Linked DNA regions of Drosophila melanogaster. The protein of the gene in region 2 interacts with the protein of the main gene of each other region in a pairwise test. Each region holds a gene or a part of one and is shown on either strand. Other genes may lie near its edges.

What was found. Proteins that work in one complex are often made in the same cells at the same time.
Region 1: the proteins of CG11052 (region 2) and CG32354 interact in a two-hybrid assay, tested with the Drosophila melanogaster proteins (one large-scale study listed by BioGRID).

The regions. Positions count from the first base shown.
Region 1 is NT_037436.4:8,415,965-8,423,707, forward strand, and holds the start of CG32354 (uncharacterized protein), read right to left. Parts: upstream 6,242-7,743; 5' UTR 5,103-6,241; coding exon 4,877-5,102; intron 1,896-4,876; coding exon 875-1,895; intron 819-874; coding exon 621-818; intron 560-620; coding exon 16-559; 3' UTR 1-15.
Region 2 is NT_033777.3:8,007,633-8,011,326, forward strand, and holds CG11052 (uncharacterized protein), read right to left. Parts: upstream 1,666-3,694; 5' UTR 1,592-1,665; exon of another isoform or gene 1,523-1,591; 5' UTR 1,420-1,522; coding exon 1,215-1,419; intron 1,161-1,214; coding exon 1,144-1,160; intron 1,030-1,143; coding exon 920-1,029; intron 869-919; coding exon 751-868; 3' UTR 617-750; downstream 1-616. Other genes in the region: CG2767 (uncharacterized protein), read right to left, coding at 264-335; CG3223 (uncharacterized protein), read left to right, coding at 1,856-1,997, 2,071-2,487, 2,546-3,234; CG10435 (uncharacterized protein), read right to left, coding at 3,477-3,602, 3,663-3,694.

The DNA of each region.
Region 1 (7,743 bases), on a different chromosome or scaffold from region 2:
ACGCATACATACGTCCTAGTAAAGGAAGTTAGTGGATGGTGCTTCGGGGCGGCCACAGGCGCCGTAGTAGTTGACGTTCACCGTCTGGTTCGCCCTGCAGTTTTCGATCTCCAGGAAGCAGTCGTTCAGATACGTTTTATTGTCGCTGCCGCAAACAGGCTCGAATTCCCTGGGACAGATGCGGGCACATCCTTTAAGCTGAAAGGCGGCAAGGCAGCGCTTCAGTGGCACCACGAAAACATGCTTGCCACAATTCTCCTTGCGCATGTGGCACTCGGACTTGTACAAGTTGTTGTCCGATCCGCAGACGAAACTTGGCGGCTGGGCATCACAATCCGATTCGCAGTCGGCGGTTAAAGCGCAATTCTTTAGCGAAACGGGCACCACACGCAGATCGCAAGTGCGCCGCTTGAACTCGCACATGGAGGCGAAGGTGTTGCCATCCGAGCCGCACACTGGCTGCTGTTCCAGATCCGCCCGAGTACAGGCATCCCCGCAATCCTTGGTGGGCGAATTGAGATCCGTGCAGGGACCAATGTGGGCCAGATTCACGCCGCGTCTGAAAAGAAGTTGAAGAGCTAGATCCATGTCCTATGGATGATCCTATCATGGATACTCACAGGCAGGTGGCGTGGGCCAGTTCGCACTCATTGTTATAAGTCTTGGCGTCCGTGCCGCAGAGCTTGTCATTTCGCTTCGAGCTGAAGATGGAACCGAACAAGCTATTGAAGTCCTTGCAAGGAGGCAGCTGTTTGCAGCGGGTCAGTCGATTCTTGCACTTGTCCATGCTCACTTTTTGAATGGACTTGCGCTGTGGACTGAAAGATAAAATTTTAGTCTGGTTATATTCCATTTTTATCTCATCCAAACTCACCCGCAATTGAGCATTTTGAGTTCACACAGCGAAGAGTATATGTTGCCATCACTGCCGCACACGTACTGCGACGAGGAATCCGTATCCGATTTGGGACACTCCGTGGGACAGGCATCGGAGGCTCCGTGCCTCTCCTGCGACATGCAGTAGGATAAGGGAACCTCAAAGACGTGCTTGCCGCAATTGGAAGAGCGCATCTTGCACGGACTGGCATACAGTCTGCCATCTGATCCGCAAGTGGGCCTCGCCACACGCCAGCAGGATTCCCTGCACATTCGTGTGGACTGACAGTGCTTCCGGCTGGTTTTCACCACACCCTGTCCACACGTCTTCAGCTTCATCTCGCACGTGGAGTTGTATACATTGCCATCCGATGAGCAAACTGGTCCATCCTTCGGCGCACTGTTGCAGTCAACCGGACAGGACTCACGCACGGCACTCGTGTTGCTGCAGGGACCCACATGCGATAGCTTCACTGCAGCCAATCCCACGCGACACGATTGCACCCTCAGCATGCAGCGATTCAGATAGGTCCTTCCGTCTGTACCACACACTGGATCCTTCTCCGTGCTGCAGCGGTGCTTGCAGTCCGAACCCTTCGACCTCTCGCAGCCATCCCGCACGTCCTTGATCAGCGACACTCCACTGCGGGAGCAAGTCTTCTTGCGCAGCTCGCAGATATTCGCATAGATCAGACCATCGCTGCCGCACACGGGCTCAGCTCCCACGGTGATGCTCGGTGGACAGGATCGAGGACAGTTGCCGGTGCCGGTGTTACTAGCCCTATTCCGTCTGCCCATCTGTGACAGCTGCTGTTGCTCCGTCTCCTCGCGCAGCAGCGACTCCAAGGCAGCTGCCGCCGCTCCGGGTGCCTGCATCAATGTGGACGACAGCTCCGGTCGCGCATCCTGACGATAGTTGATCAGCAATGAGTTGGGCGCCGCATCTGCACTGCGATAGCGGATAACTGGCGCCTGCGCCGGCAGCCGGATAATCTTGATGGGTGAGTCTGTCACAGCGCCTGTGGATGGAAATGATTTTAGAATTTAATTGGTTTCTATCTAGAAACTTAATTCTAAACATTTAAAGCAAGACAGTAGTTCCTCCTCCTCTGTTATATGAACTTATTAAACAAAGCTTAGTAATAATTACTACTTCCCCGCACGTAATGACCGGTTGTCCATCGAATTTTCCCAGGGTAACTCTGTTTCGAGACCGCCAAATGAAACTTTCCCTTCGCATTTTCCACAGCTCTTTAGCGGTGGCATGCGGAAGAGTCAACTGTGGGCATACAAATGTCAGATTAGCCGCACGATCATAGGGCATTTTGCGCAGTTGTGACCCACTGTGTCCATGCCGCCACCCGCCGACACTCCCCCGCATCCGAGACCAGTCTCTGATTCTGGAGTGATCGCATGACCGACTCAAGTAACCAGCCATTAACTTGAATAATTCTTTCCCTTTTTACTAACGGCAACGGCAAATGTTACCCGTCTTCAAATCTCGATTCCAAGTAAAACGACACAATGGCATTTATGTTTTGGCTGTGGTTTGAGCACAGCTAATACACTCGCTTCGTTCATACGGACTATCAGCGACCTCCATCTATAATTGTTCATGCTAATCCCCTCCAGAAATCGTAAGCTTAATCTGTGCTAAAAACTGCAAGTGAAATTTCCACACTAATTGCCTCCGGCGCCGAACATTTCTGTTGTCTTTGGTCGGATGTGGAACTGCTGGTTTAGTTTGGGTTGATTTGTCCATTTTTCTTATTTTTTTTTTTTTTTTTGTTTGCAAAGAAAGCTGTGAGAGCCGCCTCCGGAGGAAGCACTCAACTTAGTTAAAGATATACGAACGTAAATAGACATACCCAACAGCAGTAGAAAATCTATTAGCGCTCTTTGAGGCTGCCACACGATGGTTTGGCTGCGATAATTGAACCCACGTTCATTATTCCAATTTGCTGCTGCCGGCCATAAAGATGGAAATTTCAACATCCAGCCAGCCAGCCAGTCAGTCAGTCGAGCAGACGCATTCTCAGCTTAATGGACTCGGATGCTTCTCTGGCTGGATGCGAGTCCGAATCTGAATCGGAGGCATCGGCATCCAGAGGAGCCATTAAGCGCGGAGAAAATTAAGCGGCGTTAGGAATTAATGCACATGTAAACGATCCGCTGGAATGGTCAGAGGCAAAAGCCGAGACCACAGCCAATCTCATTCAGCATTGCAGCAATGCGACCTCAACCGCCCCACCCACTCTCACCAATCCTGCACTGGCAGAAAAGTGTGGTACTAGTCCTGGGATAAACTCAGAATCAAATCACTCATGCAAACTAATGGTACAAACTTATACAACACCATACACCATACTATTTTGCATTTTAAATACACCTCTGATTTACTGATTTCCTTTTGTTCATATGTTCTGCTGATTTCTCCCAGTGCAGGTGCATTTTCCTGGCCTCCAGCGAATTGCTGGCAGGCTCCTGCCTATCGGATGCCATCAATTGCAAAAAAAAAAGGCGAGAGAAATAATAAAAGCAGCCACCGTATAATTTTCAAAAGTGGAAAAATCCAGCAACCAACGCACTGCACTGCTGGGCAGGGACTTTTGCATGATATATACTGGGTATGTACATATATATATGTACATATGTACATACATATCTATATATGCACATGGAGCACACCATGTGCACTCGGTTTGCTCCGGTTTGGTGTGGCACAGTGGCGAGCAGCGACATGACCAAGCCCATAGATGAATGAATCACGGCGCCACTGATTGGGGCCATTAAAACATATATGTACATATGTACATATATATGTGTATATGCATGCGAGCATATATCACAGCATCCAAAACTAATTGATCTTTCACCCATCAATCTCCGATGAAGTGCGGTTATCAATTAGCCAAACGATCGCGCTTACAAGTCAAATAAATCATTTCGCTTCGGGTCAACTTTAAACGATGTAACCCCCCCAATTGACCCCCAACCCTTTCCAGCTCGCTGCCACTGTGCGGTCAGCTTGATTTTCCCCCCCCCCCATGAGCTAGCGATTCGCCCCTCTTCCACCAGCCCCCCCCCCCCCCTACGTTTTCAGGCCCCCGGCTTCTGTTTGGCCCCTTCGTGCTTTTAATGAATTTATACGAATGTTGGACAAATTGTGCACGAAAATATTTACGAGCATGTTGTGCGTCGAGGAGTGAGTGCCTCAAACTGGGGAGTTCGTGGTCTAGGGGGCGGTGGGGGGAGAGGTGTTGGGGCATTGGAAGCTTCGCGCTCGTGTATGTGTGCCAGTTTACATTCACTTTGTGCGGAGTAGTACCTTAGAAATGGATAGTTGAATAGCTGCTGCGACGGCCTTTCTACCACCGCACAGCTGTAGGTCTTAGATCCGGACCCCGATTCACCTTCTCCGTTTCAACACCCGGAGAAATTAGGCGGTAATTGAGACGGCACTCACTGGGACTTGTCCAGTCTGTCTGCAACTTTCATTTAGCTCAAGATCAGTTGCCGTTTTCCGCTGAAGAACTCGGGTTTCCCTAGAACTCTGTCCGCAGTTTTAACTGCAACTCAATAACGATGTGATAGTTAGGAGAAAGTACATTTAGCAAGAGGAAAACTAATACCCTTTGAAACTTGTATTAGGCCCTTTTAAATGTAATGTTAACTAATCTGGATTTAAATAGAGCATTCTTTACTTTAGCAATGGCTTAAGAGTTCCATAGTCAGTTTTCTCTTTTATGATTATATTGGACTTAATGCTCTGCTTAAGGAACCTAGTTTTATCTTAATCTGATTTTAATTTAGTTAGGAGGAACTTTGCTGAATCTGAATCAACGTATACTTCTTTAGCTGATTCATTTCTTGAGGCAATTAAACAATTTGAATAGTGAGAATGCCAGGAAAGAGATTCGAATGATCTAAGACTACTTCCTGTGACTTTCTACTCAACGTGTAGCACCAATTTTGGGATTTCTCGCAGTGTACGACTTACCACTGGTGGTTGACGCAAATGCCGCCAACGTGAACATGGCCAAGAGTGCGCCAAACAGCTGTCGCTGGCTCTTGGTGCCGCCAAAGCTGAGGCCCAGACTGGGGCTGTGGTTATGGCTGCATCTGGCGATCTGGCTTGGAGTCTGGCCAAGTCCGTGGGCCTGTGTTTGGGTGGCGTTTGGGGCGGGGGGCTGCAGATGCAGATGCAGATGCTGTTTGTGGTGCATTTTCGCTGGCTGTCTGCTGCACTTTTCCTATTAGACGCTTGATGATTTGTTGTTGCCGCTCGGATCGGATGCGTGCGTGATGTGAGACTGAGGCGTGCGGCGCTTTCGCTCGTTAACAATTGAAATTGAAATAGTAGCAAACTTTTATGCGGCTGCGGCTCACGGTGGATGAAAGTTTTTTTTTCTCTTCCTCGGTCGATCTACCAGGGAGATAGAGATATAGTGGTGCTATATAGTATATGGACTATATAACTGCTCGTAATGGCGCTTAAGCTGTTCGAATTAACGGTAATCTTGCGGTCATTTGGGCCTGGCCTGCTCTTCTTCTTCTTCTTCCTGCTCTTCTTGTTAACCGATGTCGTTGTGTTGCCTTCTCTCTCTCTCTCTTTAGCGCCCTTTTACGAGTTCATTCGTTTGCCTATCAACATCAAGCTCCCGTGTCTTACGCTGTCTTCTGTCTCTTTCGCTTTTCCCTTTGCCTGCCGGGCACTTGACCTTTTCACACAATCGCACAATGGAGCATAATTTCTTTTTTATCGCCTTGGCTTTATGGCTTTTTCTTGATGTTTTGTGGATTTTTGCACGGCCCGCCTTTAATTTGATTTCAATTACTGGTTCTGGTAAGGCTTTATTTTCCTTTTATTTGCTTTTTATAACGTTTTTCTTTTTTTTTTCGTTTCTATTATGCGCACAAAACAATTCGCTTTTGTCCGTTACTCTTTTGTCGTTTGAATTTGACTTTGATGCGCGCTCTTCGAGTTTCGATTCGCATATGAAAAATGATCTGTCTTTCGGATTTCGATGCTGCTGCTACTGTTCTGCCTCGGCCGATGCCTCCGCTGACGCCTACTGCGACGCCGACTGCGACTGCAACTGCGGCGATTGCATTTCGTATTTCATTTCTTCTTTTTTATTGTTCTCGAATGAATGAATGAATGAATGGGCACTAACACACTCGCGCTCGCATCCGATTTGTACAATTCGTATTGTCGTCTTTGCCTCTGTTTCTTTTTTCGCCTTTTTAACTTTTTTCTTAGGCCTTTGTTTAGTGCGCTCTAGAGTCGCTCTGAAATCTCGGAAAGCTTGGGCTCCAAATGCGACTGGAAGGTTTGACAATGCGCCGACGAATGGCAAAAAATTTGCAATGAAAAGAAATTTATATGGGTGAAAGGCAGCGCAGTCGGCGACGGCAGAGCAGAGCATCCAGCGCTGTTGTTGTTGCAGCTACACTCGAAACAATTCACTCATCTTTTGAATACTAAATCAAGAGTATTTCCAGTTAGGACAAAAAGCACCGCTTTCTTTAAGTTTTTAAAGTTGAAAAACAATGAAAAAATAAAAATATATATGAATAATAATAAAAAAGTTATAATGTACAATAACAGCAATGGTGGATTGTAAAAGGATACAATTCAAAGATATGCATGTCTGTGCAGTTTCAAACTTTCAAAATGTAACATATATTGAGAGCAGTAAAGAGAGCAAGTAAATTTAAGTTAAAAATGTAGTCTAGTCTTGATCTTTTTGAATAGACCTATATTTCTTTTTAAACTTTAACGGTTTACTACCACAAGTTTTTCGAGTGCATTGTTGGGTGCCGGGGCATATTGATTAAATGGAGTTGTTGGTATTTAAAATAACAACTTGGTCATGTCTGCCTGGCCTAATCGGTTTTGCGTACAAATTTAATTTGCCAAAAGTGGCAGCAAAATGCAGCCAAAAAGGCGCGCCGCATTTGAAATTATAACTCACACACTCGATTCGATTCGATACGATACGATTCGATCGGATCAGATGCATCCACATCCACGTCCGTGCTCCCCCAACATCTCCGATGCCCAAACCCAAGCCATACCATCCCACATCCAATATACAATATTCACGATCCGAGTCCACGATTCAGTTGCAGTGGCATTGGCATTGGCAGTTGCAGTTGCAGTAGAAAGTGCAGCCTGGAAGCTGTGTTTATAGACTTGTAGACTTTAAAGCCATAAATTTTACGCCTCAGCGGCCGTTGCGAATAAGGGTCACACACACATAGCCTACTATCACCTTGCACAGTGTCCTGATGCCAATTTAAGGTGCATGTTTACTAATGCATTCACACAAAAATATTTGATTTTGGCATAGTTTAGCTATTAGAGCTTAGACCTTATCTAATTGTCTTAGGTATTATATATTTGATATAATAATATTTTAGTTAAGTAATTCTAGCTTATGTTAAAAGGAATACAAAGTAATGCTACCCAAATAAATAACTTGCTAGTAACATAAAAAATGAAGTTATATTTTAAACTATAAATAGTAAGTAAATAAATGTTCTTAAGCAAAACATAATCCTTAATCTTTCATGGTTCGGGACATATGAGCTTTAAGTTAATATTCAATCTTTTTAAGAATTTTAATGTTGCTTTTTTTTCTTACGAGTACTTTCCCTTAAAACTTTGTGCAATAAATCATCATTTTTGGGAAATGCGTTGTGGGTGCTTAAATTCCACATGTTTTGGAACCACTGTGCGCTGGCGGTGGGTGGAGGAAGGTGAAGAAGCAGATCATTGGCGGCGGAGTCGCGTGCATTAAAGAAAATTGAGTGGAGGTGGAGGTGGAAGTGGCCGTCGCATGGGAAAAGAGGTCAGTAAGT
Region 2 (3,694 bases):
GTGACCAGAGAAAGTCCAGTCCACCAGTGGATATGAATGGTGGTTTATTGTTTGTTTTTGAAAACCGGTCTAAAGTCCCCCAGCACCAACCAAATTGTTGATTGCATCGGAATCGGAATTTCAAGAGATTTAAATGACGTGTCAGCGATTTGTTGAGGTCATTAATAAGTTGAAACAATAGTATTAAGATTCGAATATCTACTATCCATTTAACCACTTACAAGCAATCTATGAAATTACAGAATTAACGTGATTATAAATACCTGCCAGGTGCCGATGCCAATCACGGGCATCTTCTCTCCATTGTTGAACGTTAAGAACTTGGTGTTGACCATTTTGTATTGATTTTTGATAACTTGTACACTAAAACAGACTTGAGTAACAGATTAAATGGAAAAGATGCGGCACAACCTGTTGCTTCGAGGATTGAATTGAAATTAAACAAGAAGCTACGACCCAGTCACCGGCCCACTTATCTCACCCAATCCAATGAGATTCTGCCTTTTGCAAAGCGCGGTCTTACTAGTCGATATTTGTTTAACAAAACAATCGAATTTAAAAATAAATGTACTTACCATAAATGGTTTAAGGCTCGTTTACTATAAAATATCGGACTAATTTATTTGCATTTTAGTTAGATTTAATATTATAACAATAGAAAAATTTGTAGCTCATATCCAAATACTGTATAAGTGTGTGTAAGAAAAATTCAATTCCGTTTCTAAATGATTTTAAGCTTTTAGAGAACAACTAATCCACCACTATGGAGAAGTTAGTGAACGTGAATTCTGAAAGTTCTGTAGTCTCACTGAAAATGCATTTGTCAATTCGACTGGTGGGGCTGCCGGTGTGCTTTAGCCAGAGGCGCCTGTAAAAGAACGGCTTGATAATTAAACGTTGAATGGAAAAAATCACTCACATGGACTCAAAGGAATGTCGGTGTGCTTGAATTTCGCCCTTCACCGTATTCTCGTTGGTGTTTTTGCACCAACCCCGGACTCCCAGCTTTTGAGCTCTTCGCAAGGTGTACTAAAACATGGTAATTGGATTACAGTAAAGAGATTTCACATATACAATAAGAGGTAGCAGAAAATCCATAGCTCAAAGGGGTTTTGAAGATCCCATTTCCCAGCAAGCTCTTACCATTCGAAATGAAACGCCTGTTGGTGCCAGATAACTAATTATTGCGACTATACGATTTGTGAATACCCTACCTTGCACAATGCCGAACACTTCGAATTGGCAGCTGAAGACCGGCTCATCGCTTCTGTCCGATGTTACTCTTTTTTGGAACTCTGTGTTCGAAATTCGGTTGGGCTCCTCGCTGCCTTTTTTGGATGGTGTACCTTTATCTGGTGTCGAAGATGGAAGAGTTACCCTCCTACGTTCACCCTCAGTCTGCGTTTCTTGGGAGGTCATTTTACAACTCGTATATTTAACATATTTGGAGCGGAAACTGTCAAAAATCGATAGGTCGATAGGGATTGAGGGTTTTATTTTGGGTCACCTTGAATTTCAATGGCTTTAAAAACAGTACATTTTAAATGAAATGACTTGAACAAGGTAAAACAAAAACAATAGCAAAAGTTACGTTTTCTTATTGTCAACAAATGAACACTTATGTTGAAAATTCGACAGCAATCCTAGAGCGGTATTTTTAGATCTAGCTTTTTTAGCCTTTTTTAAATCGTCGGTCGACCCGATCAGTCTGGTTCGGGCTATCGGGGCATGTAAGGGTCACCCTGTGTTCAAGGCGGTTCGTTGGAACCAGTTCCGAACTGTCTTTGAACAAAACAAAATCACCCAGACAAAATAGTGAATTACAAATATTACGCAGATTCTACATCAACGCACTATGCATACCGTGTACGCGCTTCTGAAGAACAAGCTGAGCGATGTGCATCCCCTACACAACATCGATCTGACGCGGGATGTGGCCTACCTAAAGGCGGTGGTGACCAAAGAGATGCACTTGCAATTCGACGCCAGCGAGTTGGGTGAGTGACCCTCGGGATTCAAATCGCTGTCCATTGTCTCTATTGTGTCAAGTCATTTGCTGCGCACTTGCAGAGATCATCCACCACGGACGCGTGCTGGAGGACGCAGACACCCTCAACCGAACGCTGCAGCCCAACGCCGTGATCCACTGCTTTCAGAAGATTAAACGTTACTCGCCGTATGTGCCGCCAGCCGCCGCCGAAATCAACACGAAGCATATTCAAGAGCTGTTTTCGTTGACCTCGCACCTGCAAATCAGCGTTACCTCGCGGTTCAACATTCTGCAGAAGATACTCGCTGAGTATCCGGAATTTAGGCGAAATCTGGGCGCCCAGGCCCTTATTCGCGACTCCGTACTGTTCAACATGCTGCACGAGCCGGAAGTGGTCCAAAATCTCGTTAAAGATTATCCCCTCATCTGCGAGGCCGCTCCATTCATAGTGGACACCATTCGCAAGGAGCTAGCCAGAAATAGCTCGGCCACGCAGTGTAACTAATGCCGTATCTATTCTTGATTTGTATATTTTACCCGTTTCTTCCTTTTTAGTGCAGGAGCAAGCTGCTTCGGAGTCTACTACTTCGTCAGAGGAGGAAAACTCTCTGGGTGCAGGCAGCAGCAGCAGTGGTGGAAGCAGCAGCACAGCCGTGGCAGCTGCCGCGGCCGCCAATCGGCGTGATGAGATGGCCAACATCCGTCAGATTAGCCGCCAGCAACTGGCTAACGCATTGGCTAACGTGACCCCGTTTAATTCACTGTCGAATATTGCGCAGAGAAACGCGGACGAGGCCGTGCAGGGTGATGAAAGACCTAGAACCACCTCGGCGCCATTAGCAGGCGTTGGAGGAGCAGCGGGAACAGGCGCAGGAAGCAGCAGTGGAGCCATCAGCAGCGGATCCATATCCTCAGAGTTGCTCCGCAACGAGCTGGCCCGCGCTTTTCAGTCCCTGTCGCAGGATCAACCGGCGCCTGTGGAGAACATGGAGGTGGAGTCCGGAGAAGGACCAGTACCAGAGCAAGCCGCCACAGCACCAGCCGATGATGTAGATGACGAGGACGATGGTGGAGACGACAGTGATGTGCTGCCACGCCGCTACCGTCGCCATCGGTTCACCGAACAACTGCGTACCATGGCCGCCATGGGCTTCATTAATCACACTCAGAACGTTAGTTATCTAGAACTTTCCGATGGGAATGTGGAACACGCTATTAATCTGCTTATGCTGAGCATGAATTAATAAGGATCGGAATTGACTAAAAAGCCAACATAATGTGCTTACTTTACGGACTTATATTTATTCTGCTGCTGAGGATTCTGAAGCATTAAACTCCCAACTTAAGCAAGGAATATCTCTTAATAACTTTTAATAATTAAATATACGTTTAGAGGAGTCATCTTTGTAAGCTAATTGGGGTGGGATTGCGGAGTTTGGGCATGGGGGTAAAAGCCGGCCGTACAAAAGGTTTCCACTAAATTATACTAGTTGATTAGATAGTCCAGCGCCTTGTCCTTATTATTGTTGAACTTGAGTAGCGCCGCCGAGATTTTCGATTCGTCAAAACCGAGGTCCAGAAGTTCTCCCAGTGGAATAAGGTGTTCGATAATCTGAAAAGACGTCCCAGATCGGAATAATGCATTTTGCAAAAGTTTTCGAAACTGACTTACCTTCTTATCGTCGATACCGCATAGACTAACCA